Danio rerio: one gene and its partners. The protein of the gene in region 2 purifies or fractionates together with the protein of the main gene of each other region. This does not show direct contact. Links are inferred from orthologs where the notes say so. Each region holds a gene or a part of one and is shown on either strand. Other genes may lie near its edges. The genes, in order: bcas2, prpf19, prpf8, sf3b1, rpa2, snrpd2 and plrg1.

The links.
Region 1: the proteins of prpf19 (region 2) and bcas2 purify together in Homo sapiens (co-immunoprecipitation; 10 studies listed by BioGRID and IntAct, counting the BioPlex papers as one, with this or other methods). This does not show direct contact. The link is inferred for Danio rerio from reciprocal best matches to the Homo sapiens genes PRPF19 and BCAS2.
Region 3: the proteins of prpf19 (region 2) and prpf8 purify together in Homo sapiens (affinity purification with mass spectrometry; 5 studies listed by BioGRID and IntAct, with this or other methods). This does not show direct contact. The link is inferred for Danio rerio from reciprocal best matches to the Homo sapiens genes PRPF19 and PRPF8.
Region 4: the proteins of prpf19 (region 2) and sf3b1 purify together in Homo sapiens (co-immunoprecipitation; 4 studies listed by BioGRID and IntAct, with this or other methods). This does not show direct contact. The link is inferred for Danio rerio from reciprocal best matches to the Homo sapiens genes PRPF19 and SF3B1.
Region 5: the proteins of prpf19 (region 2) and rpa2 purify together in Homo sapiens (affinity purification with western blotting; 4 studies listed by BioGRID, with this or other methods). This does not show direct contact. The link is inferred for Danio rerio from reciprocal best matches to the Homo sapiens genes PRPF19 and RPA2.
Region 6: the proteins of prpf19 (region 2) and snrpd2 fractionate together in Homo sapiens (co-fractionation; 3 studies listed by BioGRID). This does not show direct contact. The link is inferred for Danio rerio from reciprocal best matches to the Homo sapiens genes PRPF19 and SNRPD2.
Region 7: the proteins of prpf19 (region 2) and plrg1 purify together in Homo sapiens (affinity purification with mass spectrometry; 8 studies listed by BioGRID and IntAct, counting the BioPlex papers as one, with this or other methods). This does not show direct contact. The link is inferred for Danio rerio from reciprocal best matches to the Homo sapiens genes PRPF19 and PLRG1.

What each region holds. Positions count from the first base shown.
Region 1 is NC_133183.1:12,585,319-12,589,409, forward strand, and holds the start of bcas2 (pre-mRNA-splicing factor SPF27), read right to left. Parts: upstream 2,801-4,091; 5' UTR 2,765-2,800; coding exon 2,672-2,764; intron 2,459-2,671; coding exon 2,366-2,458; intron 2,283-2,365; coding exon 2,212-2,282; intron 1,318-2,211; coding exon 1,156-1,317; intron 1-1,155. UniProt on the Homo sapiens protein: Required for pre-mRNA splicing as component of the activated spliceosome. Component of the PRP19-CDC5L complex that forms an integral part of the spliceosome and is required for activating pre-mRNA splicing.
Region 2 is NC_133189.1:18,672,395-18,676,174, reverse strand, and holds the end of prpf19 (pre-mRNA-processing factor 19), read right to left. Parts: coding exon 3,629-3,780; intron 1,342-3,628; coding exon 1,259-1,341; intron 1,154-1,258; coding exon 1,048-1,153; intron 940-1,047; coding exon 842-939; 3' UTR 501-841; downstream 1-500. UniProt on the Homo sapiens protein: Ubiquitin-protein ligase which is a core component of several complexes mainly involved pre-mRNA splicing and DNA repair. Required for pre-mRNA splicing as component of the spliceosome.
Region 3 is NC_133190.1:30,766,022-30,769,990, forward strand, and holds the start of prpf8 (pre-mRNA-processing-splicing factor 8), read right to left. Parts: upstream 2,801-3,969; 5' UTR 2,682-2,800; intron 2,078-2,681; 5' UTR 2,067-2,077; coding exon 1,946-2,066; intron 1,847-1,945; coding exon 1,678-1,846; intron 1,578-1,677; coding exon 1,413-1,577; intron 1,016-1,412; coding exon 797-1,015; intron 718-796; coding exon 505-717; intron 427-504; coding exon 301-426; intron 206-300; coding exon 100-205; intron 19-99; coding exon 1-18. UniProt on the Homo sapiens protein: Plays a role in pre-mRNA splicing as core component of precatalytic, catalytic and postcatalytic spliceosomal complexes, both of the predominant U2-type spliceosome and the minor U12-type spliceosome.
Region 4 is NC_133184.1:33,854,378-33,858,321, reverse strand, and holds the start of sf3b1 (splicing factor 3B subunit 1), read left to right. Parts: upstream 1-1,144; 5' UTR 1,145-1,170; coding exon 1,171-1,198; intron 1,199-2,970; coding exon 2,971-3,146; intron 3,147-3,254; coding exon 3,255-3,356; intron 3,357-3,484; coding exon 3,485-3,599; intron 3,600-3,944. UniProt on the Homo sapiens protein: Component of the 17S U2 SnRNP complex of the spliceosome, a large ribonucleoprotein complex that removes introns from transcribed pre-mRNAs.
Region 5 is NC_133191.1:4,971,333-4,975,561, forward strand, and holds the start of rpa2 (replication protein A 32 kDa subunit), read right to left. Parts: upstream 2,801-4,229; 5' UTR 2,667-2,800; coding exon 2,654-2,666; intron 2,431-2,653; coding exon 2,339-2,430; intron 741-2,338; coding exon 639-740; intron 1-638. Other genes in the region: ube3d (E3 ubiquitin-protein ligase E3D), read left to right, coding at 3,257-3,333. UniProt on the Homo sapiens protein: As part of the heterotrimeric replication protein A complex (RPA/RP-A), binds and stabilizes single-stranded DNA intermediates that form during DNA replication or upon DNA stress.
Region 6 is NC_133193.1:43,804,206-43,807,054, forward strand, and holds part of snrpd2 (small nuclear ribonucleoprotein Sm D2), read right to left. Parts: intron 2,317-2,849; exon of another isoform or gene 2,247-2,316; intron 1,536-2,246; coding exon 1,356-1,535; intron 1-1,355. UniProt on the Homo sapiens protein: Plays a role in pre-mRNA splicing as a core component of the spliceosomal U1, U2, U4 and U5 small nuclear ribonucleoproteins (snRNPs), the building blocks of the spliceosome.
Region 7 is NC_133176.1:27,248,272-27,252,485, forward strand, and holds the start of plrg1 (pleiotropic regulator 1), read left to right. Parts: upstream 1-1,414; 5' UTR 1,415-1,512; coding exon 1,513-1,521; intron 1,522-1,709; coding exon 1,710-1,816; intron 1,817-4,214. UniProt on the Homo sapiens protein: Involved in pre-mRNA splicing as component of the spliceosome. Component of the PRP19-CDC5L complex that forms an integral part of the spliceosome and is required for activating pre-mRNA splicing.

The DNA of each region.
Region 1 (4,091 bases), on a different chromosome or scaffold from region 2:
GATTGTGTGTGTGTGCGTGTGAGTGAGAGAGAGAGAAATGGTCTCAGTCGCAGTGAAATAGGGGCTTTGCTGTAAATGTCAGTGAAAGACTGATCCAGCAAACACATGCAGTGAAATTGTGCACAGTTTATGAGTTTTAAGTCGTTGGATCATTGTAAATACTTGCACTCGCCTCCCTCGCAACGGAGTGCATATGAGATAAATGACGTCAGTACATAATAACCTGTTGTGATTATTACTGAATTGTTACTGATAAATGATCATATCGCATTTTAGATTTATGATTACGACAAGCATTTGATAGGTTTTTTCTTTCATAGAGAACACAAAGTGTTGTGCATGAAAATAAATGTTTACTGTGTCAGTATCACTGTAAACATGCTTTGGAACAGTAAAATTAATAACCCTAGCCCATATATAAAGGAAATATAATGGTCTAATGTTGTCAATGACAGATGACAAGCACATGTCTTAAACATAATAAATCAACTTTATAATTATGAAAAGTTATATTCTGATGTCATCATTTTACTGTGAATTAACAAACAGGACATATTGAAGTTCAAGTATAATCAAGTGTAATCAGTTAGTTTATTTTTATAAAGTAATTAAAAAGTTTTTTTAGTTTTTTAATAGGGTAATTTGTAATCTGTGATCTATTACATTTCCAAAGTAACCCCCCCAACACTGCACATGACCTCTTATAACAAACTAATGCTCATCTTGGTGTTTCCATCAATAATTTTTTTAAATGCATCTCCAAAATGAGCATAAAAATAGGTGGATGGAAACATAGCTAATGACAGGCCTAATACAGCCAAGGTGACCGACTAAAAACACTCACCGAATTATTACATGATTAATTATTATTGCTTTCAAACAGAACAGATATACTTTTTGAAAAGGTACATTATATTGTAGAACTGCAGATTAACTATTAATACATTTGACATTTGTAACTTTTTCTAACTGTGATTGTAATGTAATAATGCACATCTTTTATAAAGCTGTTTTGGAACAGTAAAATAATACTCATTTACAATAATTTAATAGAAACAGCTTCATATTTCTGTCAATATCACACACCCCTAGAGTATAGAAAGTCTGATTTGCATCAAAAGATGTGAATAGTCTGATTTAAGTCAGTTCACTCACTCATTAGACATCTTCCATGCATTGGTTCCATACTGAGCCATGAGCTCCAGGTTCTCAATGCGCACCGCCTGATGCTCCAGCTGCGCCATAGAGTTATTCACACAGTCCTGCCACGCTGTCATGTCGTTCTTCTGTCCGGACGATGGAGCGGGAAGCTCATATCTAAACAAACAAGTGCAAGAATGTGAGCTCGATCAACAAATTAGTAATTATATTAGGGTAAGCCTATTACTGTATGTGCACTCTGGGAATGAATGAATGTAGAGGAATTGATAATTATGTCATCGCATTGTTATGACAATCACAACCAACCGGTAAGCTTCAAGACCTGATTTCAAGTTTTGGCCTGATCTTGAGTCTCATCAGTTTGTTTGTTTCTTGATTTTGCTTATCGCTGTCAACAATGGATTTGGTTTCAAAAATTTCTGATTTTCAGAAATCTACACAACAGTGAACAGCAACTTATTGAATTATAATATATTCCTCAATGAAAAGGACAAATGCTCTTTAAGGAAGGGGGGATTTTACAGAGCTAACCACTTCTTAAATGTTTGAGTTGGACAATAAAACTCAAGTAAAGAAAATGACATACTCATAAATAAACAAACTATAAATTAAATAAAACTACTTTCAGGACAGTCAGAAACCTTGGAGTGGTTCTTGACCAGCTGAAATTTACAGACCACATAGCCACAACTGCCCGGTCATACTTGATCAAATTCAAGCTACAGTCATTCACCTACAAAACGTGGCTCTGCACACGTTTACTTAAAGTGATTTAAAGTGCTTTTTTATCCTTATATGCAAGTTGTTTGGAAAAAAAAAAGGCATCTGGTAAATGAATTAATGCAGATGTTAACAATTTATTATTTCTTTGATGCATGTTTATGCAAGTAGCCCCAGACCTACAAGTTGCTCAATTACTATATGGTACAGTACAATCTGATTGGTGGAATACTTTTACGAGTTTTAGGTTTATGAGTATTATAGTACTTCCCTATCCACTTTGAAAGTACATTTTTACAGACAGTTTTAACTTTTGCTCAGTAAATTGACCTCTTCATACTGAGCAGCTCCATGGGTTGACGGGCAGCCAGTCTCTCAAACTCATTCCTCATGATTTCTGTCTGATGAGAACAAAAGCAGAATATAAGATTACAGTGTGAACAAGTAGAAAAGGAGCAGAAAATATTTCTCATCTTTTATTTACCTCAAAAGCAGAGAAATCTGGTGTGGGCAAGTAACTCAAGTAGTTTTTAGTTGGTCTGTATCGTCTCGTCTCTTCCTCCACCAAAGCAGCGGCCTAAAATCCATCAAACCCGATTATTTCTCGATTTAATAAAGATCACTGTAATACCAAACCATACTTAATCCACAAAAACGAAGGATTAAATATCCAAACTGTCTTGTTTATGCAACAGAACTAGCCGTTAGCCAACTGCCAGCAAAGTAAATATTTATTCTTCATCGTTTTAAAAAGACAGAAAGCACAAAAATACATATTCAGTGTACTTACGGCTTCTCTGACCCCTGTGGCATCATAACCCTGGTCGAAATAAGGCAGGGCATCAACAAAAACATCACCAGCGACTGATGCTGGTCCTGCCATCCTGAACAAACACACGCTTCGCGCACTGCTTCTGCTAGGATTACATTGAACGTCAAACGGAAGGTAGGCGCCATCTTGTGTTTCGGAGAGAAAACGCGCCATCAGTTTATTTAGCGCGAAAGTTTGACAGAAAGTAAAAAGAAAACACATTGAAGTCACAAAAAACATGCTATCCAGTGAAAGTATGGTCACCCAAAGTTGTCTGTTTTTTTTATGATCTTCTCAAAATGTTGCTAATGAAACTTACCTTTTTTGCTGCTTTGCTTTTTTCATAAAAAACATTCAAATGTCAAGTTTTTTAAATGTTGTAAATTGTGGAACAAGCATTCACCAAACAAGTATATTAAGCAAAAAAACATTTGTTGAAAAAATGAAAAATGAAAAATGGTAACACTTAATATAAGTACCCTCTATTTTACTTATTACTGCCTTATTGGCTCACAAGTTATTTATTTTACCCAATGGTTGAGTTAAAAATATTTGGTGCTTTGTTGGGTTATTTTGAAACTTTATTGGGTTATTTATTAATAACTCATCCAGTTGGGTTAGATATTTGGTGTTCTGTTAGGTTATTTTTAACCTTTATTTACTTAATAACTCAACCAGTTGGGTTAAAAATGTAGAATTTCAACAGTCTACTGATTTAACTGATACAGAACAGCTTTATTGTTATGTGTACATAATGATGTTTTTGCGTTAAAAAGTTTAAGGTCTAACGCAATACATTCTTTTAATCAAATTACCTCTCCATGTCATGTGTTTTATATCCACCAGCACTCTGAATTGTTAATAATACAAACACCTCATAGCCGATCTATATTAAACAGATAAAACCCCTTAAGTGTCTGGAACTTTAAATGCAATGGAAATAAAGCATTTTCAATATTTTTTAAACTGTATGTTATTTATTTACACAGCCATAATTATAAAATAATACTAGTACTAATAGTAGCAATACCAGAATGGAGAAAAATTACATTTAATCAAAATAACCAAATGCATTGGGTTAAAATAACCCACAGTTGGGAAGTTGGTATAATAACCTAGTTGGGTTATATGTTGATGTATTTTTAATCCAAGTATTTTCACTGAGTATATAATACATTTTCTGCTTGATCTTATTCTTCATTGCTAATACTTAATACCTAAACTAAAACCTAATTATTAATAAGGAATTTATTAAGAAAACAAAGTCAGTGTTGATGGGTTTTTAATAGCAAAAATTGTCCCTTAAAATTGTCTCTAGAGGAGCACCAGCACTGCATGTTTTGGATGTCTCCTTCGTTACACTCATTACAGGTCTTTCAGTCTCCACTAATGAGCTGAT
Region 2 (3,780 bases):
TGTTTTTTTTTTTTATAAATGTCACACGTTACATTCCTTTTTTATTATACTAAAATATTTAAATACTTTAGATGTAAAACTAAGCATTAACAGCAGCTATGTTTTCCCACGCTAACCGTCTGTTACATTGTTACTTTTTAAAATATATGGTCATATTTGCTGTAACTTTGCATGAGCACATCAAGTTCAGCTGGAGAAAGAAATGGTGATCTCTTTTTTTCAGATGTTGCCATGGTGAATTGTAATATCTGCGCTCCATTGATAATGCCTTTTTATAGTTGCGGTGTGCGCACTTAACTCTTGAGTTGGTCTACTCAATGTTGATTGACCTAACTCAGATCAGCTATTCTGAAACTGAAAACTCTGAGTTTTTAATCTCTCTGTAAATCAAATCAGAGTTCAAGTTTAAACTTAGAGTTGGTTGAACCTCCTTACTGAAACAGGCCCCTGGTGCCTGTCATGGATGAAAACGATGAGTCAACAGATTCATACACAATAGATTAAAAACAAATTTAAACTTTATTGGAATCTATTTCACATTTGATGATAGTCCACAGAAGGATAAAAAAAGAGAGAAGTCATGGGACACTAACAAAGTTTGCCAGCCTACAATCAAAAGATTAAAAGGTAGACGAAAAAACAACTGACATTAACCCTTATTGCCAAAATTTGTTTTAAAGCAATAATTGACAAAAAGATGAATTTACTGGTGACAAAGTCAAGGTGTACTGAATGTTTCTGAATTAATCACTACAACCATGTTTATGATAGTGAATGCATATCTATGTATACACATGCACACGTACAGAGAGATGTATTTGTTGTGGGAGTATTGTTTCTGTTACAGGCTGTAGAACTTGAGACTTCTGTCCATGCCTGTGGAAGCCAGGAACTGAGCATGTTCACCAAAAGCCACACCAGTCACCAGACCAGAATGATCTACAGGAAGAAGAAAAAGAAATTAAATTAGTTTGAGGACACAGAATAAGCTCTTAATTAAACAACAAACCCAATTTTGGACAAACTTCAAAGCGTTGTTCAACTCACCGGAGAAGTTGAGGACCTCGGACCACTGTTTGCAGATATAAACTCTGATGTCTGACCCTCCCACAGCTAGATATGTTCCACTCTGATCAAACACCAGGGACTTGACCTACATGATCAAAAAAACAGCAAAAATATTAGACAAACGTCCTGTAAGCAGAACAACTGGCAAACTGATTAAAACCATTTGACAGTGATATTTCTGGGATTCGACCTCGTAATTGTTGTCCAGAGTGATTGTCTTGAAGTTCTTCAGCTTCCTCAGATCCCACAGCTTCAGTGAACTGTCCTGAGCACCTGCATACAAAAAAAATGTAGTTTGCATGACAGTGAACACAAGTGATACTCAATGCAGAGCCAAATGGGCAGAGCTTGCTCAGAGTTAACATCTGTCATGATAAAAACTGGGGGCTACTGCGGAAAGCAGGTAATTGGACATGTACGTATAAGTGCCATGTAAGTGAATAACTGCAGCTTTCAGGTCCAAAAACCAAGATATCTTTTATAGTAAGAAACAATTGCTCTAAATATGCAGCAGGTTACGTTTTAGGGTTAGTTAGCTTCTTATCTACCTACCTACCTACCTACCAACCAACCAACCCAACTTCCTACCAACCTAGCCTCTACCTTTAGCTTCCTACCAACCTACCTAACTACTTACTTGCCTAACTTTTAACTACCTTTCTACCTACCCATTTAGCTTTGTACCTACCTACATACCCAACTGCCTACCTACCAAATTGTCCTACCTACCAACCTACCCATCTTCCTACCTACCTACCTAACAACCTCTCACACCCACTCTCTCTCTATTTCAGACTTACTCTCTCACACGAACTTCCTACCTACCTACCGAACTTCCGACCTACCTACCGAACTTACTACCGACCTACCGAACTTACTACCGACCTACCGAACTTTCTCCGACCTACCGAACTTGCTACCAACCTACCAAACTTGCTACCAACCTACCAAACTTGCTACCAACCTACTAAACTTCCTACCAACCTACTAAACTTCCTACCAACCTACTAAACTTCCTACCAACCTACCACACCCCCTACCTAACTTTTGAACTACCTACCTCTTAAACTCACTTATACATCAACATCCTATAGACCAGTGTTTCTCAACCACAATCCTGGAGGACCACAAACACTGCATGCTTTGGATCTCTCCTATGTCTGTCACACCCATTACAGGTTTTTCAGTCTCTGCTAATGAGCTAATGACTGGAATCAGGTGCGTTTGGTCAAGGTGACATGGAAAATGTGCTAAGCTGATGGGCCTCCAAGAATGTGATTGAGAAACACTGATACACCCAACTATAGACCTGAACAGTGCAGTGGCTTACAAATATTCAAAGACAAAATGCAATCCAAAGATGCCTTTTAAAAGAAATCTGTGTTTTTAAAACTAATATACCAGAAATCAATGATTTATTTTATTGATTAGACACATTTACTGTTTCACAATATTATGTCTCTTAAAATGAAATACATGTTTAGTAGTATAAAAAACTGATGTTTTTACCCAGACATTTAAAAAGAACATAACCAAGGTTATCATAGCGTCCGAATCTCATACAAGCCCATGCCTAATATATATGGTTGTGTGTGTTTCTTAATTTCTACTATTTCTTAATTTCTACTATTATTAGCATATAATATTACTATTTCTTAATTTATTTTGTAAGTTAAACACTCAAAATATGTTTAATTTATTTTTACTATTATTTACTTCTTACTATCTTACTATCTTTTAATAAAATACACCGGTTATGCAATCTTATTACAGAAATATATTCCCCCCCTAACAAATATGGAAGCAAAACCAACCAATCATTAAAAACAACTTCCAAAAGAGAAAGTGTAAAAAGTGTGTGCATGAATTCAAATCCACTTCATTATCCTGGATGTTGACAGCAGCTTCCTGACACGCACATATTACTGGACTACACTATCATTATATTATATACACACAGTAGAAGCCTACATCAAACACTTAAGGTAACAATGATTCATGACTAATGATTAATCTAGTTCTGTTAATAGAACTTACTCTCAAAAGAAGTTTTGGTGCACATACTTTGAGTAAGCAAGTTAAGGGTTAATCAACGCAGAGTTCAGGGTTAAGCAAACAGAACACCTACTTTGCAGCAATGCAGTAAAATTACAAAAATATATAAACTGTAAGAATTTATATAATCTTTAAGAACTTAATTACAGTAAGATGTTATAATGTCTCAAGCAAACCTCTGCATTAAATGTAATGTTTCATTTTTCTAATAATTTTAATTTCCGTTTTTTTTCGTAATAACTCTAGTTCTCTAGAGCTGCAGAGAAGTAAACTAAAACTTGCTAAACAACACAGAACTTAATCAACACTGAAATAGTCACCATGGCTTCTTTATAGCATGATTCAGATCATATTTGATGGAGGCCCTTAATTCTGTCATTTTTTGCATTAATAACTGTAAGGCTGATTTGCAACAATGTACTGTAAAACAGTATTTAAATAACTACTTCAGAAAACAGGTAAAATGCAGATTGAACAATGGACACAGACAGATCACATGACTCACCAGTGGCTAGATAGTATCCATTCTCAGAGAAGGCAATGGCCGTGACTGGACCTGAATGTCCAGGGAAGTTGGCTACATTGGTTCGTTCCTTAAGATCCCAGATCTTAATCTGAGAATCGCCCGTACCAGTGCCGAAAATCAGACCATCAGGA
Region 3 (3,969 bases), on a different chromosome or scaffold from region 2:
TGGCAGTGGCTCTTGGCTCTATGGAGAAAATACAACTTTGCAATAATTGTGGACTGAATGCACAGACGTTTAATTCATACAGTTTAATTAATTTCTGACCTTGACTGAGTGCCTATGAGAGATGGGGTTGATCAGAGGGTCAAAGTAGAAGGCGGGTAGATCAGGATCTTCAGTCTTGATGAACACCACATTTGGTGTATGGTACCTGTATAGACCACCACAGAACAACAGTTCACTTAAAAACATCAGTTCAAGAGTTTTTGTGAATGATTGAACTGAAGGAAAGATAATGGTTCCTACCAGGTGAGGTGCACATGATGTGGCAGATTGTTGTACAAGTAAGGGAATGCAATTTTGTATTCTGTCCTGATTGGCTGTCTGATGATGATCTTGTTGATGTCATTGAACTCATTCCAGTCTTCATCCCTAAAACGAAAGTCAAGTTAGATCCCTGGATAACATAAGCAATTGCCAAATATACCACAGTTAGGACACAGTACGTACTGGAGGTTAATGTCTCTGACAAGTGGCTCAAATTTAGGTCCTCCAGGAATGGCCATGTTCAAAGCTTTAGAGGTGAAGAAAGCTTTCAAGTCAAACAAGTAAAAGTAATTGTCATCCACCAAGTCTGTCAGCAGCTGATTAGCCAATCGATACAGAGTGGACATCATTGGCAAAGTGAATTGCCATCGTCTGTATGTGGTCCCATTCACGTATCTGTGGAAGGAAGAAAAAAGACAAACCATAAACAAATGAAGCAAGTAACCATATTTTTAAAATTGTCCCCAACACTCACTTGGTGGTGTCTTTCAGAGGTTGATGCTCATAGAGCCAGTCTGTGACAGAAGAGTCCTCATCAGGGTCCAGCTCCATCTGGATCGCCTCCAGAGGCTCCACATCCAGGATGTTGTCTGCATAATCCAAAGGAGGCTCTTCATCATCAAATGGCGGGAAACGCATGCGCTTGAAGTGCCGTCTGTCTCTCTTCTCACGACGCATCATGATCCACATTGTGCTGGTGTAAAGAGAAACAGTTTAAACATTATAAAACAATAAAAAAAAATAAAAAATTGAATAAACAATATTGCTACAGCTTCTCCCCAAAAAGGGCACTATAAATCTTTCAATCAAAATATTTCCTTCTCAAATATGACAAGCAAAATATTACAAAAAAATTAATTTATTTAATTTTCCTTGTTTTACTTTGAAATACGGTAATGATAAGATGTTTTAATGTTAATAATTAATTACAATAATATGACAATTTTTACTGCTAAAATTACACTTTGGTCGCATAACCACAATTTACTGCACAACTACGCAGCACCCCAAGAAAATACTACAAATGGCCTTAGCCAACATTTTTTCCCACTAATCTATCCTCTCACAAGTGACATCACACAGCCACTTACCCCCACTGAGAAATGTACACTGGCTCAATAACCCAAGGGATTTCATTCACGAAAGATATAGCGCCTGTGATGTGGTAGAGCACAGGTACATCTCTGATCTGCTCCCAGGGCATTGGCATGTTCTCCAGCAGTTTGAGCACTGCATGGGGCATATACTTCAGGGCCCTGCAGATTAAAAACAACAATTAATTTTACATAAAAAAAACTTTAATAATGATAATCATATAAAAACCAGCTACCTTTGTAATGATGCAAATGTTCTTACCCTAGGTAGACTCTTTTATCATGACGAAATTTCCTGTTCGTCATGTCACCATGATCCCTGATAATTTTGCGCACATGTTCTGGTGGCATGTCCTCTTTCTGAGCATCCACGAAGCCAAATTTCCTTTTCTCAGAGTAGCGCTTGGCCTGCAGCTGCTGCCATTTACGAGCTACAAGAAGGAGATTTCATTTGAAAAAAAGGAAACAAACTTTGAGTCTTGGGTACAAATTGCATGCCGTTGTTAACCTCAAGAATTTTGCCAACGCACCTTTCTCTTGCAGTTTCTCCTCAGTCATATAATCTGGCACTGGAGCAACAGCAGGAGGAGGTGGAGGAACACCTGGAGGCATTGGTCCAGGAAGACCTCTGTAGGGGAAAGGAGCTGCCATGGCAGCGTCTACTGCAAGCAGAAACATTAAATCATAAATATAGAAGGTTACACTGCAAAACATGAGTAACGCACAGAAAAGACAACAATTATTTCAATAAAACACGTCCTCACAAGCCTACAACAACAACAAAACCTAAATAAGAATTCAGTAAGCAGGAAGACTGACCTAACTAATGCTAATTTAATCGTTCTAAAAGAAACTAAAATGTGGAAGTATTATCAACTAGCTTTAAAGTACATAACTTAATCACATTTTTTTCATAACAATCACATCAATGAACTTAGCCGACTAACTTGCTATCGCGCCTGAACTCTTTTCTTACCTTCGAAAAATAATCTAGAAACTATTTATTTACACAAGACAGCCACCGGGTAGACTTTTACACAGTCTTTATCTTAAGTAACAATATTTACGACTGGTGTGTATGAATGTATGTGGTTTGATTAGTTTCTGTGGCATCGATAACGCATTAGTTAGCATGTTAGCTTAGCTTACCGAATATTACACAACAAGTAAACCGTTTCCGGAAACAAACAGTTTCAAATCGTAAGTGATACTTTGAAATCTTGCAAATAAAATATGCACAAGCTCGTACAGAATGAAATAACTTACAGTTAAAAGCAGTTTCTCGCCAGTGACTGTAGTTGTACGGTGGTTTTGTGCTCAGCGGAATGGCGTACTATGCACGTTGTGCGTAGAGTCTTTCCATTCTCCAAAGCGCTTACGTATCTGAACAATTCTACCTCAACGGAAATGATAACAAGCTACGACTTCGAACGTAAGAAAATGCGTAGGACCCAACTTCCGGATATGACACCGGATTTGAAAAGTCTCGCTGTCCTTTTTAATTTTTTACTAACATTAGTAATAGGGGACACATAAAACATTAATTTGTCCTAATATTGTGTGACCAGAATACTAATGATACATATTCGTTGTACAGCTAGTTACAAAGATGTTACAAAGGCTAAGAAAAAACAATACATAAAATGTTTATATATATATATAAATATATATATATATATATATATATATATATATATATATATATATATATATCTTCAGCATTTCAGTTGTCTTGGCAGCTTTCTTCTTTAGCAATTCATAATAAAGTTTTAAGTCAATACAAAATGTTCTATTAGGCAAACACTGAATAACTCTACATTTGTGAAGATGGAAAAGGCCACAAAGAGGTAAAAATGTCAACACACTGTCCAATTCCTTACAATCTGACTCCCAAAACAAAAACAATAAAATAATTGTCTTAAAATCAATAAGGATTTTATAAGCTGATAAGACAAGCCAAGATATTCTGTCTAAAAATAAATGTACTGTTGTACTATTAGATTTATAGAATGTGCATTGTAAAGAATTGTTTTTATTAAATTTAGATAGTAAAGAATTACAGGGATAGTAATTATGAAGGATTTTAAAATAAAGTTCTGTCATCTTATTTGGTACTAAAAACGTATTGATACCAGGCCAAATTGTAATGAGGGATAGAACCGGGTAATTTAATTTAAAGTTATAAAATGCTTTTCGGTACAAGCTAGACTTATTAACAAAATTTCTTCTAATGTGCTAATTATTACATTTAATATAAGTAATTTATCCAATAGCTAATTAATAAATAACTAATTTGTGCATTTCACATTTTAAGTCTGTATAAGCATAGGTTCTAGTCAAATATAATAGTTTTGTTAAAATAGATTTTATAACCAAATCATACTCTGGGCTAAGTATCCCTTCAGAAAATTGCAGAAAACTCAAAGTAAGAGTAAATGTTACCGTCCTTTTTTAATAAATCTAAAATAAGAACTATTCCTCTGTCCACCAATTCTTTAATAGAAATAGATTTTCTACTCTACAGCACATTCTGATAATTCCATATTATAGATGT
Region 4 (3,944 bases), on a different chromosome or scaffold from region 2:
TCCAGTTAAGTTACAATGAAATTGCTACTAAACTACTGTTGCCATTACTGTTATCGTCACAGAATTTGATAGTAATATAAGTTAGTCCTAAGTCAATTAAATATAATATGGAGCAGTTTTTCACAATGTAAAGTAATTACACATGTATACATTTTAAACTTCATGATAATAAAGACAAAATATAATCATTTTTGTGCAAAAGACCCCATCCTAAAATGTAAGACACCCAGACCACATAGTTTCTGGAATAAATACCAAATTTATACATTGAACATGTTGAACATACTATAAATAGATCTAAAATAGTATTTGGAATATGCTTATGTTTCTATTATGTTACATTATTAAATATTTACTTATTTTTTATTATTTAAATTATTAATTATTACTACTATATGTACTAGTTTCTCCATTCCTTCCCCCAAACATTTCCATAGAACCCCTAGCTAAAACTTCCTTAACTCAAATTTAAAACCCCCTGATTATGTAACCATACTGCTTTTTAAAACTGCAGTCAAATCTGTCTTACATGCGCCTGTAACATAAGCATTCAAAACAACAGAGAGCACGGTTTTTATGTAATACTATTTAAAATATTTAAGCTAAAATGACCGTAGTGCATGTGTTTGAATGCAAGAGGGCTTCCTAGTGTTGTGTTGCTGGAAGGGCATCCGCTGCATAAAATATATGATGGATAAGTTGGCGGTTCATTCCTCTGTGGAGACCCCTGATTAATAAAGGGACTAACCCCCCCCAAAAAAGAAAATGAATTAATGTTTCGAAAGAGACACAAGTAAACTTGTCCTGTTCTCATTCCTCCTGAAAAAAGTTTGGTCTTTGCCACATAAATATGCTATTAATTAAGTTGTTTGGTTCATAAATAGCCTTATTCCATTTTATCTTGTTAATCTATACCTTAGAGTCTCTAACTAAAAACAACAAGCAAACATTTGGAAAATCCTCCACTCCGTTGTGGCTCTTTCCTCAAGCAGAGCGGGGGGTAAACTTAACAAGAGAATGCTGTCACTTGCCAGCTGTGTTGACGCCTAGTGCTTGTGCTCTGCGCATGTGCGTTATTTTCTGCCGCAGAGAATGCGCATGCGCGTTCTTGTAAACGAGACGCTGTCGTGAAAGGCCTTCCGGTAGTGAGGCTTACACAACAGCACGAAAATGGCGCAGATCGCCAAAACACATGATGGTGAGTTTAGGTTTCAAATATTTGCAAGAAGCATGTCTCGTTTTGTAGTTTTTTATATATTGCATTTTGTGCTTAATGCCACTTTTTATTTAAAAGAAGTGCATTAAGCGAGAAATGAGCAGGATTAGAACTGGCTAAGCCCGTGAATAGAATATGGCGTCTGGTCGTTGAATAAAACCTGGCCGTGGCGCACATATAAAATATCAGCGCTTTTTCCGCATTAAGAGTTTTTTTGTGGATTATAGCAGAGCTAATTGTAATATACAGTGCTAGAAAATAGCATTAGCATGTGTCTGTTTTGTCTATGTAGACTACGTAATGTGAAGATGTACTGGTTAATCAGTGATGTATTGAAACCAAAATGGCGTTGCAAACACAAACAGAGCTTTTCCATTATGTAGGTATGTTCATAGACGTTTACTTGTGATAGTGTGGTTATTTATTTTATTTTTGTAGAGATGTAACTTGTATTCATTGTTTAACGTTTGGCATTTTCCATGTTTATGTATAACACATGGCCGTGGGTGATTGTCCTGCAACAGTCATTATGTTAAGCGGGCTTACGCACTTTTGTTATATTAATACATTATGCAATGTTTTTATGACAATACCTAAGTAATAATAAAATATAAGTTACATCTCCCTTCACGTATTAGTTATAAATATTTGTAAGGATTTTATATGTATGTAGGGACTTCTTTTTGTCTTAATATTGTGCATGTATGGTTTACAAATCATTGTCTTAAATTGAAGAGTTAGGATTCAAAAATCTCTAAATGCCAACTTGTCTCCTAAAATGAGAATTTTGTTTCAGCCTCCTTGTTATTTCACTTTAAAGTCAATGAAAATAACTTATTCATTACTATAACAGTAACATTACTGAGCCTACACACAGGAGTTAGAGAAAAATGCTAATTGAAGAAGAATATCAAGCGGCATGTAGAGATTTTTTGCATATAAAACTCATCGATTGTTGATTTTAATAATATAGTTTCAGAAAAAGAATTTTTGCAAATTCTTAGTAGGGAAGGCATATGACTGTCAATTAAATAGTGCTACTGTTTTTTTTATTATTCTTTAGGGTTAGATTAAATCTCTTGTGTTAGTTTAGACTGAATATTCATAGCACAGTAAACAATATACAGGCCATAATATAAATATAAAAATATAAAACCAGATTTACCTTAGTTTGTTCTATTAATAGAATATGCAGTTTAATGTCAGTGTGTATTAAAGGTTCCGACTGTATGATAACCTTGGATAAAAGTTTGCAATTACTGCTCTAAAATAAGTTCTTTTTAAATATCTGTTAAAAAACAAAAACATTTCACTTTGAACACAATATATATATATATATATATATATATATATATATATATATATATATATATATATATATATATATATATATATATATATATATAGGTACAGACTTCATTAGTTAAAAAAAAAAACAGATTTCTTTAAAATTTAAATTTGGCATCTTTGGAGATTTTTTTTCTGCTAGAGATACTGTTGTCCTAAAAAAACGAAACGTAAAAAAAATCCTACGTTACAGAAAAATTTGGTGTTTTTTTTTAAACCTTGACATTTCCAAACCACGGTATACCTTGAAAAAGGTTATTGTCCCATGCCTAACATGTATAAAAGTGACGTTAGTGATGGTGGAAAATGACTTCCAGGTCACCTCACCTATTATAATATTAGTTAAAATGTTTTTTGTTATTTTTAGAGGACTAATCTCTGGTTGTTGTTTTTTGTTTTTGTTGTAGACATTGAGGCTCAGATCCTGGAAATCCAGGGGAAGAAAGCCGCTCTGGTGGTGGAGGGCGGTGACCAAGGAGTTGGCCTTGATTCCACTGGGTATTATGACCAGGAGATCTACGGGGGCAGTGACAGCCGCTTTGATGGGTATTTGACTTCAATTGCTGCCAATGAGCAGGAGGATGTAAGTTATAGCATAACGCTCTTAAAAGTAAAACAAAAAATACAACTCCATTGTGTATAAGAATTCTGTTTAGTTTCTTGAACCTAACCCCAACTATTTTTATTTTAGGATGATGACGAGGATTCATCTACAAGTCTCCTTGTACAGAAGAAACCAGGATATCATGCTCCGGTTGCAATACTCAACTCAATTCCTCAGTCAGATGAGCAGGTAATTTAACAGACTTTCCACCTTCAAGTTGCAGTGTGTGTGTGTGTGTTTTCTTGTGAAGTTTTTGTATGTGTTTTTGAAATGTCAATTTCGAATTGATCATACAATTGTTTGTACCCATTTTGCAGTATGATCCCTTTGCCGAACACAGACCGCAGAAAATTTCAGACAGGGAGGATGAATACAAGAAGCGCAGACAAAAGATGATCATCTCCCCAGAGCGTCATGACCCGTTTGCTGATGGTAAATTTCACACTACCATTCTCCTCTGCTTATTTTATTTGCCCATGCCAATCAGTATTTATGTTCTCTGCCCATGACGATCCGGTGCAGACCGGCCTTTTTTGCTGCTTAACCCTTCGAACACCACCCAACTGCTTGCTCCCTGGACTGATCTGTAAAGGCCCTGATATGTGCTCAGCGAAGTCTTTGAATTTTTCTTAAAACTTTCATTTAAGGATAAAATAAGTGTAAAATACTTGAACAGTTCTGTTCTGTTAGTAAATTCTAAACCACTCAGGCCACTCTTTATAATAATATATGGTGTACTGCACGTTTAACAAAATAAATATAAATTATAGAATTAAG
Region 5 (4,229 bases), on a different chromosome or scaffold from region 2:
AGTTTCTATTATCTTTGTATTTTATTTTTTAATTTAAAATTAAATTACAATTAATTTAAATTTTAAAAAATTATTATTTTGCAAACGATGTGCTGCATTTAAATAAGGAATGAAAGAGCTCTTTACCTTAAATTTGTTTCGAATAGTTTTGTTTAAAAATCATGAATAAATTGTGTATTGTGAATAAACTCTTGAGTCAGGTGAATCATTACATCCCTACATAGTATTCGTTTTTCCTACAATGGAAGTCAATGGTTACAGATTTCCAACATCTTTCAAAATATCTTCTTCAACAGAAGAACTGAACACAAAGGTTTGGAAACGCTTGAGGGAGAGTAAAGAGTGAGGAAATTTTCATTTTTGGATGAACAATCCCTTTAAACTAGGGTGGCAATTCTTTTATTTGTTTTTTTTATTATTGTATATGTAATGTAATAAAAACATCCAAACCACATACAATGCAGCACTTTAAATACAATGTAATAAGAGATGAATCGTGTTTTGAAGTTATGAATTAGATTTTTTATATGTGAATGAATTCTTTTTTATAAATATATTACTTTTGAGACTGATCTGGCTCCATAAAATGGAAACCCTTTCAATAAAAATGTGGATATTTAGTGATTCTTCAGACTGACCTGTGCGATCTCCACCTCTCCCACTTTAAAGACGTCCTCAGCCTGCACCGCCGACAACAGCTGAGATACAGTACAGGGAACGATCTGCTGCGCTCGTGTCCTCTGAACACACACACACACACACACATCACTGTTACACTTTACAGCATCACACATGAAGATCACAATACTACACTGATTTCCCACTGTTTTCATAATCACTTAAACAACACGATAATGACTCAAATAAGTACTGTTAAAATAACAATACTACTCTCTCTACGGTCATTCTAACAGCTACACAAAAGATGTATTAGGCCAAAATAGTGAAAGTCGTATTATTTTTACACAAACAGAATTGTCCCCAAACATATCAATACTGCATTAAAGTTATAAGTTTGTTTGCCTAAATTTAAACAGCGACTTGAAAATTATTGAAATATACTGAAAAAACCTTCTATAAAAGATATGATTTATATACCTTATTAAATATTATTCAGTATTTACACAAGCAAAAACAGACCTAAACATTGAGATGAAAGACAAAGACAATTTTGGCAATGAAAATTAAATACTTCATAAAAGAATTTCTAAATCTTTTATATTTTATTTATTTTTTAAATAACAGAAAATAGCTTAAATGTTTAGCTTAATAGCTTAAACTCAACGTTTAGGCTTGTATTGTATTAAAAAGTGCATTAAATGATAATAAAAAATAGTTTGAGCAAATCTATTGTCTGTTTTAACTTTTTTTACGATGTGTCGCTTTTATTTTAAGCAAAGAAATATAATAATAAACAAAAATAACAACTAATAAATATTTTATTTCAATTTACTTCAAGTTACATAAGATGGCCACTAAATTTAGTTTAGTCTCAAACTCTAAATTTTATACCTGTCATTTGAAATCTTAATATTTATTAACTGTTCTGCAAAACATTTCACTTTACCCATTTGTTAACAAAAAGTTAAATTATAACCAAATTTAGTTTATTAAATTACTCTTTTAACTATATAATCAGGAAGTACATAACAGGTATTTGCTTTTGTTTAATTACACAAAAACTTGTTGAGCTTAATACCAAACAATTTTTTCACACATTTTTTAACATTTCGTTGTCACAAAAATAGTCTGAAACATTGAAGTGAACATTTAACTTGTATTTTTTACTTTTTTTGTCATTTCAAAATGCAGTTTAGAAAGTGCACGATATAGGGATAAGTTAAAAGTGCTATTATAGAAAACTATGGGTAATATTTACAAATATATGTAGTTTAAACAAAATATACTCAAGTCGTATTAACTGCAATTAAATATTTAAACAGAATTAAATATGGTATTGGAGGAATTTAATATGAACCCCACACAATTGAGGTAAGGTGGGTTTAATATTCGCACATTCTCCTTAAAGATAAAACGTCACAAAGTATTTATGCAAATTTTAAATGCTAAAATCATATTATCAGCTAGTGACTATCAAAGTACAGCATTGTTTACAGTCAAATAAATGGTGTTAATGTTGTTTTGAAGTCATGTTTACAAGTGATTTCAGACCAAATATTTAAAGTACCATGGTAAACAATATGAGGAGCATGTCACAAGTTGTCACTGAACGAATGTGCGAATATAAAACCAACTTTACCTCAATATATATATATATATATATATATATATATATATATATATATATATAGGTGTTTAAAGTTATTTATATACTGACCCCCTTTTTGTCTCCTCCTTGAGAAGCGGCTGGTGACCCGAATCCTCCAGGAGACTGTGTGTACCCAGCCATACTGGCCTCTCCGTATTTACCTGCAAAAATATGAATACCATATTTCAATCAAAACGACTTATTGGTTAAAAACCCCGTCCGACTGGCAGTAACGTAAGAGTGCGTTAAAAACAGACCTTGACAACACACCGCTAACCGACATCACACTGACACTGTATAACAGAGCTTTCTGACTCTCATTAGCGGACTAGCAGAGTAAACTCAGCTCTAAAGCCAAAATAAAGTGATTTCTAAAGCACGTACCTTGGTTCCACATTTCACTCGTGAATGTTTTTCTTCTGAATGCGAAGCAGACCGACAAGACACTCGAAAATCTCCCGCCACGACTGATCGCGCACAGTTTGACGTCACGTCTCGAAGTCCGCGCGCTCACAGTACGCGTGCGCGTGTGTCATCTGCCGCGAAAGTCCCACACGTATACTGTAAAAGTCCACAGAAGCTTGTATGTTGTTAAAATTGTTTTTAAATAAAAATAAAGCATAAAAAAATAAATAAAAACAACAAAAAATCTGTAATCTTTCTTCACTGAAATTTACATTAAAACGTTTACGCTCGTTCTCATATGTTTTGGAATAGTTAAAGCATGTAAGCGGGCTAAGCCCAGTCATATATTGTTTATATATTAAAATAAAATAATTATAATAACTGTCCAAATATGTTTGAAAACAGCGTTTTTTAAAATGTTTTTAAAAGTAACGTTAACACTGAACAGATGCAAACTGAATTCTGAAGACTCTTAATATGAAATGACGGTGTCGCAGACAGTTTGTCGTCACGTTGTTTTGTGTGTCGCGTGGGATTTATGAGTAGAATCGATGAATCCATAGCTTCTGTAAAGAAATACCAATGGAAGAGACTGCGAACACAGATGTCCTCTTTATTGAGCTCAGACAGAAGCTGCAAAGCGGCCTTTTGTTCATTCGGTAAAGTTTTTCTCTTCTACTTTGGCTCTCTCATAGTCACTGACTGTCAATGCAGTGTTTCATCAGTGTATGTGAGTGAATTATGTCATGTACAGTTACACTTAGCACCCAGGGATTCAACGGGATTTCTTTTAACGTACTAGGGTAACGTTACAGCTTATTTTGAGTTTATTTACTGGAATAAAAGGTTATACAATTTCAGGAGGCAGACTTTGGGAACACTAAGTTAGAGAGTACTAAAATATAGTCGTTTAAATGTTTATAGCTAGGTTTTAAAATTATTTATATAGTATACTGAATTATATATATTATACTATTGCATACTGTTTTATTTTTTACACTAGCTCTATAAGATAAAACAGTTAGAAATGCCACAATGAAACACTAGATGGCAGTATTGACCAGATAGTTGGACAGCTTATTTAACGCCATGATATTTTCTTTATGAAAAATAACTTTATGACTAACGTTGCTGTTAACTTTAGACCTCTTAAAATCGAAGAAATTGATTTCTAACACATTTCATCCTAAGTCTCTTCATGCACTGTACAATATGCAGGGTTCCACATAATTCCATAGAGGTAAAGCTGGTTTAAATTGAGATATTCAGACATTCTCCTTAATAATATAATTTCAGAAAAGTATTCTTTGCAAATTCTAAATAGGGAAATCATATTAGCACTTTAGCAGCAAATGATTATGAAAGTACAACATTGTTCACAGTGAATTAGACAGTGTTAATATTGTTTAGAAGTCAAACTTGCATGCTAATTCCGATCGAATATTCAAAGTAACATGGTAAACAATATAGAGACTGCTAAATGAACAAATGTGCGAATATAAACTTTGGGAACCACTGAGTTAGACAATCTAATTATAACTTGAGGAGACAAATG
Region 6 (2,849 bases), on a different chromosome or scaffold from region 2:
TGCAATCTGCGTGTGTCACTTGGTGCTCTCTCTCGGTGTGTGTTTGTGTGTGTGTGAATGAGAGAGAGAGAGAGAGAGAGAGAGAGAGAGAGAGAGAAAGAGAGTTGCTGGGTGTTGCTTGGTTCTCTCTCTTCTTTTTCTCTCTATCTCTGTGTGTGTGTGTGTGTGTGTGTTTGAAGAAAGAGCGTCCTACGCAGAAGAATACAAACAAGACAAACAGGTGACCGCAAACCTAAGGTCGCATATACGGTATCAGTTTCTGAATGGTTTAGGCACAATTTGGTGACGCTGTCTGAGCCTTACGTCGTAATTTTGTTTATTATGCTTGGTAATACCGGATACCTGGTTAAAATAGGGAGGAGATTTGACGGTATACCGCCGGTTGGATACCGCCCAAGCCTAGTTTATATATTATATATCTTATATATTCATGGTTTATATATTATATAGGAAAAGTTAATAATATGTTTATATATTAAATATCTTATATTAAAAGTTCATATATTATATTGTAATAGTTTATATATTATATAGTAATAGTTTAGATATTATATAGTAATAATTTATATTATGTTTATATATTACATGGTAGTATTGGGAAAATATTCAGCAAAATCATTAAATAATTCAATATAATTTATTTGTAGCAAATAAAATACACATCTTAGCAAATCCTATAGCAAACAGGAGACACAAGCATAGGTTATGTTGACACAAAATGCAACTATTACTCTGCAGATACTTTGTTCAGAAAACTATTGCAACACAGATATTCAAAAGTTTAATCATATCAACACAAGCCTGTGCATGTAAACTAGGGCTGCACAATTTTAGAAAAATTTGATAGTGTGAGATTTTAATTTGCAATAAATGTTGCAATATGGGATACAGTTTTAGAAGAGAATTTAAATAGCACTGTTTGATGGTTTTCAATAGAGTCTAACAGTATTCAGGTACAGAAATTAAATTCACAGAAATTAATCACAATGTAAAAAAAAATAATTTTCTTGCTTTGCTTTGTCTCATTACTAGTGGAAATATCTAAAATTTTTGAATCAAGTAAATATAGTTTTGTTTCACTTTTACTTTGTTATTTTTTTAGCTTTGAAATGTAAACATTTGGACTAGAAACAAGCCAAAAATGATAAGAAATGCTTTATTTGCCTAAATCCTGTATAAATACAGTAATTAAACACAATTCTGTCGCTCTTGGTCAACAAAATTCTTGCATATTTTGAAATGTGACTATTGCAGATGCGAACATTGGGATATTGATGCTGACACGAAATATTGTGCAGCACTAATGTAAACAAAGCCTGCTTGCATTATTTATCACTCAAAATGACACGAGTTACCTGTCGAATGCTTTGACTCTGCCCAGCAGCTTCTTGTTGTTGCGGCAGTTGATGAGGACCTGTGTGTTGTTTTTCACAGACTGGGTGAGCACTGAAAGTGGACCGGTGTTAAACTCTTCCTCCTCTCGCTTCTGGAGCTCCTCTGGAGTCATCTCAGATTTGGGCTTGTTTAATAAACTCCTGATGAGACATTTCAACAGTTAGCATGTCTGCATAAAGGGCTAAAATTTACATCGGCCAAATTACAATTGAGGTGATTTTATATTTGCATATTTGGATTTCCTCTTAATAATAATAATAATAATTTAAGAAAAGCATTATTTCTTAATTCTAAATGGGGAAGTTATATTAGCAGTCAATGAATATCAAAGTACAACATTGTTTACAGACAATAAAATAGTGCTAATGATGTTAAGTCCTACTTGGATGCGATTTCAGACCGAATATTCAAAGTTGAAAGGTAATTAATGTAGAAAACCATGTCACAAGTTGTCACTGAATGAATATGCAAGTATAAAACCCTAGCCATGAGTACTTTAAAAAAATAGCCATGTTAATATAGGCTTACTTTTGCATACTTTTTTTTTTAAAGCAATTTTATCTCTTCATTTACATTTACATTTAGTCATTTAGCAGACGCTTTTATCCAAAGCGACTTACAAATGAGGACAAGGAAGCAATTTACACAACTAAGAGCAACAATGAATAAGTACTAAAGGCAAGTTTCAGGTCTGTAAAGTCTAAGAAGGGAAGTGTTAGTAGTTTTTTTTTTTTTTTTTTTTTGTACAGTTAGTGTGATAAGACAATTGAAGACGCTGCAACTAAACCTATGACCATACACCACTTTCTTAACCCTGTTTATCGTCTGTGGACAGAACCTCGAAAGGCTCTTGGAGATACTGGGGATTGAACCCAGGACCTCATACATGCAAAGCATGCGCTCTACCACTGAGCTACATCCATTCACACTGCAATAGTAACATATTTAAATTGAGGAGAAGTAAAATTTAAATTGACACATTCATTCAGAGACAACATGTGACACAGTCCCTATAATATTTACATTGAGGTAAAGTTGGTTTTATATTCTACATTGGGAAATCATATTAGCAGACAGCCAATGACTATCAAAGTACAACTTTTTCACACACAGTCAATGAAATACTGCTAATGTTGTTTTGAAGTCATATATGCTGTATTAGACAGAATATTCACAGTAGCATGGAAAGGAACCTGAACTAGACGCTAAGGTGGTTCACTAAATGAAACTGCTCCCGGATTATTTAAAGTAATTTTTAAAATGCTATTTTTCTTATGTCAGCGTCAAAGATTCATGTAAACTTTAAATCTTTAAACAGATGCCAGTTAGGTCGCTCCATGCAAATGAACGGAAGTGCGCATCCGCGGAGGTATGACAAACTTCACAGCGTGTGTAAATATCATCCCCGGTGAACACGGTGAAGATGAGCAGCGAGGAGACATCTGATAAACAAG
Region 7 (4,214 bases), on a different chromosome or scaffold from region 2:
AAGAAATATTTCAACAGCTCATTATTTTTGTTTTATGTGTGCCCAAATGTATTCATTCATTCATTCATTCATTTTCTTCTTTCTTTCTTTTTTTTTTTTGGTACCTTTCTCAACGAAGAGTAGGCAACTTTGCTGTCAATGGAGGATAAGGGAGCTCTTAGATTCATACATATCTTAATTTGAGTTCTGAAGATGAACTATTATCTTGAGGGTTTGGAATGACATCAGGGTAAGTTATTAATAACAGAATTTTCATTTTTGAGTAAACCAATCCTTTAATGATATTATTGCAAATATGCCATGTTGATGGCAGCTATCAAGGTTTAGATAGCTATCATCTTAATATACATCAATTAAACAGTAATAAACATTTCTTTTTGTAGTTCAATAATGTATGGTATGGTAAGGACACACAATAAAAAACGACACAGAAAATATTATATTTACCTCATATTTTGATATCTTGTGAGTAAGGTATCAAGGCGGCCCAGTCAGTCAGTTTACATAGGACTACTAATTTTGTTTTCATACAAAGTAGTTTTTTTAGCTTTAATAAACTATCATAATAAAAGCTATTTTAATTCCGGTAAGGACCATGTAAATGTGTGGGATGGCCGCATTTAGTTACAATAAAAAATCATAAACAATATTAGCCTATATAATAATAATAAACTTGAAGAAAGAAATGTTAAATAAGCTGATGAAAATCAAATAATATAAATTTTTAGTAAAATGTTCTTATTTTTTAAAACAAATTGTGACCAGAGTTATGGAACATGAACAAAAATATGTTTGGAGGTATTTTCATAAGTTTAGGCTATATAAAATCACTTAAATATTATTATATATAAACAAACATTTTTTTCAAGGTCTGTAATATTTATAAAGCATCATATACCAAATTTTAACATATATCTAAAAATATGTAAATAAAAAAAACACTTTCTCTTGGCAAAAAAGTATATTATTTTATAGTGCCACCTTGTGGATTCTCACTAGTAGGTCTTTTACTACATCCTAAATTTTCAAAACTAGCAGATGAAATAAATTAAATTGGCTGCCTGACCTTTTTACATTATTTATTTATTTATTTATTTATTTATTTATTTATTTATTTATTTATTTATTTATTTATTTATCTATCTATCTATTTATTTATTTATTTATTGGTTTGTTTGTTTAGAACCCATAAGCAGTCATTAACTTTAGTGTTTAATGTGGTCTTCCCAAAGTTGTTGGCAGCCAAATACATCGATACTGTAAATGTTGTGTTTATTGTAAATGGCCATAAGTTGACTTTTTGGTGATAAAAAAATAAAAATAAAATACGAAAAAAAAAAGACTTTTAATGGACTGTCGTGTCTTGCTGACGTAACACCCTACCGGAAAACGCTTTGTCGCGCCCGGAAGCTGTGCGTACGTTTGCACTACTGGTTCGGGTTGTGATTGTTCGGTGTGTTGGGAAGTTTCTTTATTTGCGTTAGTTCGTCGTGTTTTAAAGGACCCCCAAACATGACCGAGGTAAGGCTGTGCTGTTGTTGCATTAGCCGTTGTTCATTTGAAAATGATATCTGTTTAGTTTTTCTGTAATTGAACGCGGCGTAACGTTACTGTATTACCACACGTGTGGTCATTTGGATCTGCATATACGTCTTATAATATCCAATCAATTAATCGATGTTGATATTTTGTCTTTTTTATACACACAGGACGTGCAGAAGCACTCAGTCCACACGCTTGTGTTTCGCTCTTTGAAACGGACTCATGATATGTTTGTGGCGGATCATGCCAAACCTATAGCGCAGGACGAGCAGAGGTAAATAATCAAACTTTTTGCTCTCAGTATTGTATGGCAACGTTGATTAAAAATTAAAATCGATATAGACCTTTCACTCACCCTCAGATGGTTCCAAACCTTAATACGTTTCTATTTAATTGAGATATGTTGAAGAATCTTGGAAACCGGTTGCCATTGACATTCATAGTAGGGAAAATATTATAAGCGTCACATTGAGGTGAAGCTGGTTTTGTATTCGCTCATTCGGACTTTCTCCTTAATAATATAATTTTTGTTAAAGTAATCTTTGCAAATTTTAAATGGGAAAACCATATTAGCAGCCACGACTATCAAAATACAGTATTGTTCACAGTCAAATAAATGGTGCTAATGTTGTTTTGAAGTCATATTTATATGTGATTTCAGACTGAATGATCAAAGTACCTAGGTAAACAATATAGGGAGCATGTCACAAGTTATCACTGAAAGAATGTACGGATATAAAACCAACTTTTCCTCAATGGACATCATTGGCTACCGGCTTCCAAGATTCTTCAAAATGTCTTATTTTGTGTTCAACTAAAAAAAAATCTGACAAGTTTGGATCAATTGGGAGGGTGAATCATTTTTAATTTTTGAGCAAACTGGCTTTTCAAGCAGAAAAGACATTTTGAATGGTGGTGGTGATTTATAAACTCGTGTTACAGGGTTTGTTAAAGCCATGTTTTTTTACAATAACATTTTACAGCATTTGACAGGCTGTTCATCACCACTGTGAAGATCCTACTCAATGCTTGTTTTACAAGATTTCCTTATCTGCAAAACAAATTTCATTGGACTGTCCTGCTTTTAAAGGGGTGGTCCAGAGTGTATTTTTAAGCCTTGTTGTGTTTATAAGATGCAAAGCAATGTGTGCTCATGTTTAATTTGTAGAACATCTTACTTTGATTATATACAACTACTCAGCTAACATGAAAACAACTGTCATTTCCTAGTTTCTTCAAAAGCCTGTCCTCAAGAGGCTCTGATTGGTCAGCTAACATAATGTGCTGTGATTCACAGATCGGCTCCACGTCACCAGGAAATGCACCTCTAATAGCATGCACTGTGCCTTTGCTTGTGTAAATACTGTCAATCAGTTTAGCTGTTAGTCATATCAGTTTGAGCCTGAATCAGAAAGAAAAAGAAAAGGACACAGCTGAACCTCACGCCCGTTCTCTAAAATAAAACCTGACAAGTGTCTTTCACATATATCCGGAATAAGCATGTGTAAGTAATATGAAACTTTCACATATCTTTTGCGAGTTTGTTGTCTGAGATGTAGAACACAGGGAAATCGACCTCATAGACACTGCAGCGTGGTAAAGATTGTGGCTGTTTACAAGGGTTTGATGGACAAATATGAATTTGTAGCCAAATTGTTAGTAGTGCCCTACAGCATTTCCCATTGTTTACATTTTTGTTTGTGTCTTTGCTTCAGCATACCGTTAATGATAGAAACTGTGCATGTAGTAGATCAATTATAACAAATATAAATATCAGTTTTGTCTATTATGGTTGCAACTTCTGCTTCTTTGGAGGAGTTTTAGCCGAATCCAACACTGAACTTGGAAACATTCTGGAAGCTGTCCTTTGTCAAATGCTAGAGCTTTATCATTTTTATCATTCTCTGGAACATAATTAAAATTAAGCTAGTTCGATTGAGTAGGCGCAGCCAATGTGACATCGTAGCGGAGTTTGCGGAGGTTTGGGTGCGTACAACATGATTTCGGGAATAGTTTTTTTTCTTTACACTCGAGCAAACAGTGTGTGCGGTGCCGCATTTGATTTGAGTTTAATATGAAACACTTTGAAGAGATTTTGTCTGGAACAGGTACGCCTGTACAGACATCTTTTGTAGAGATAACCATTTATAGGATTTTACAGTGATGTATATATTACAATTTTGAATTTAAAACAATTTAATAGTTACAAAACTAAAATGAAGGAACAAAATATTTCTTTGATAACTGGAAAGGAATATTTAAACCCATCGGTTTACAATATACTGATGGCTTGTTTGTCTAGGCTTTATCAAATCAAATCAGGCCTTTATTTGTCACATACACTTTCGTATTGTGAAATTTGACCGTACACAAACATCACAATTTTCAGGGGAAGACAGGTCACAGGAGGTAGCATTTAGAAAGGCAAGATGCATCAGGAGGGTTAGGCAAAAAATACCCTCTAAACTTTGCTCTTGATTAGAGCAAATTGAGACGGAGAAAAACAGCCCATCTAGCACAAGAAAGCACACAGACAAGACACAACATTGACAACTGGGATGGGAACAGGGGATATGGATGTAGTGCGATGAGGGTGGGCAGCCATCTGGTCCTGCAGCCATGGAGGAGCTGGTCGCAGACCCGCCCACTCCTCTCATGGGTGAAAGCATACG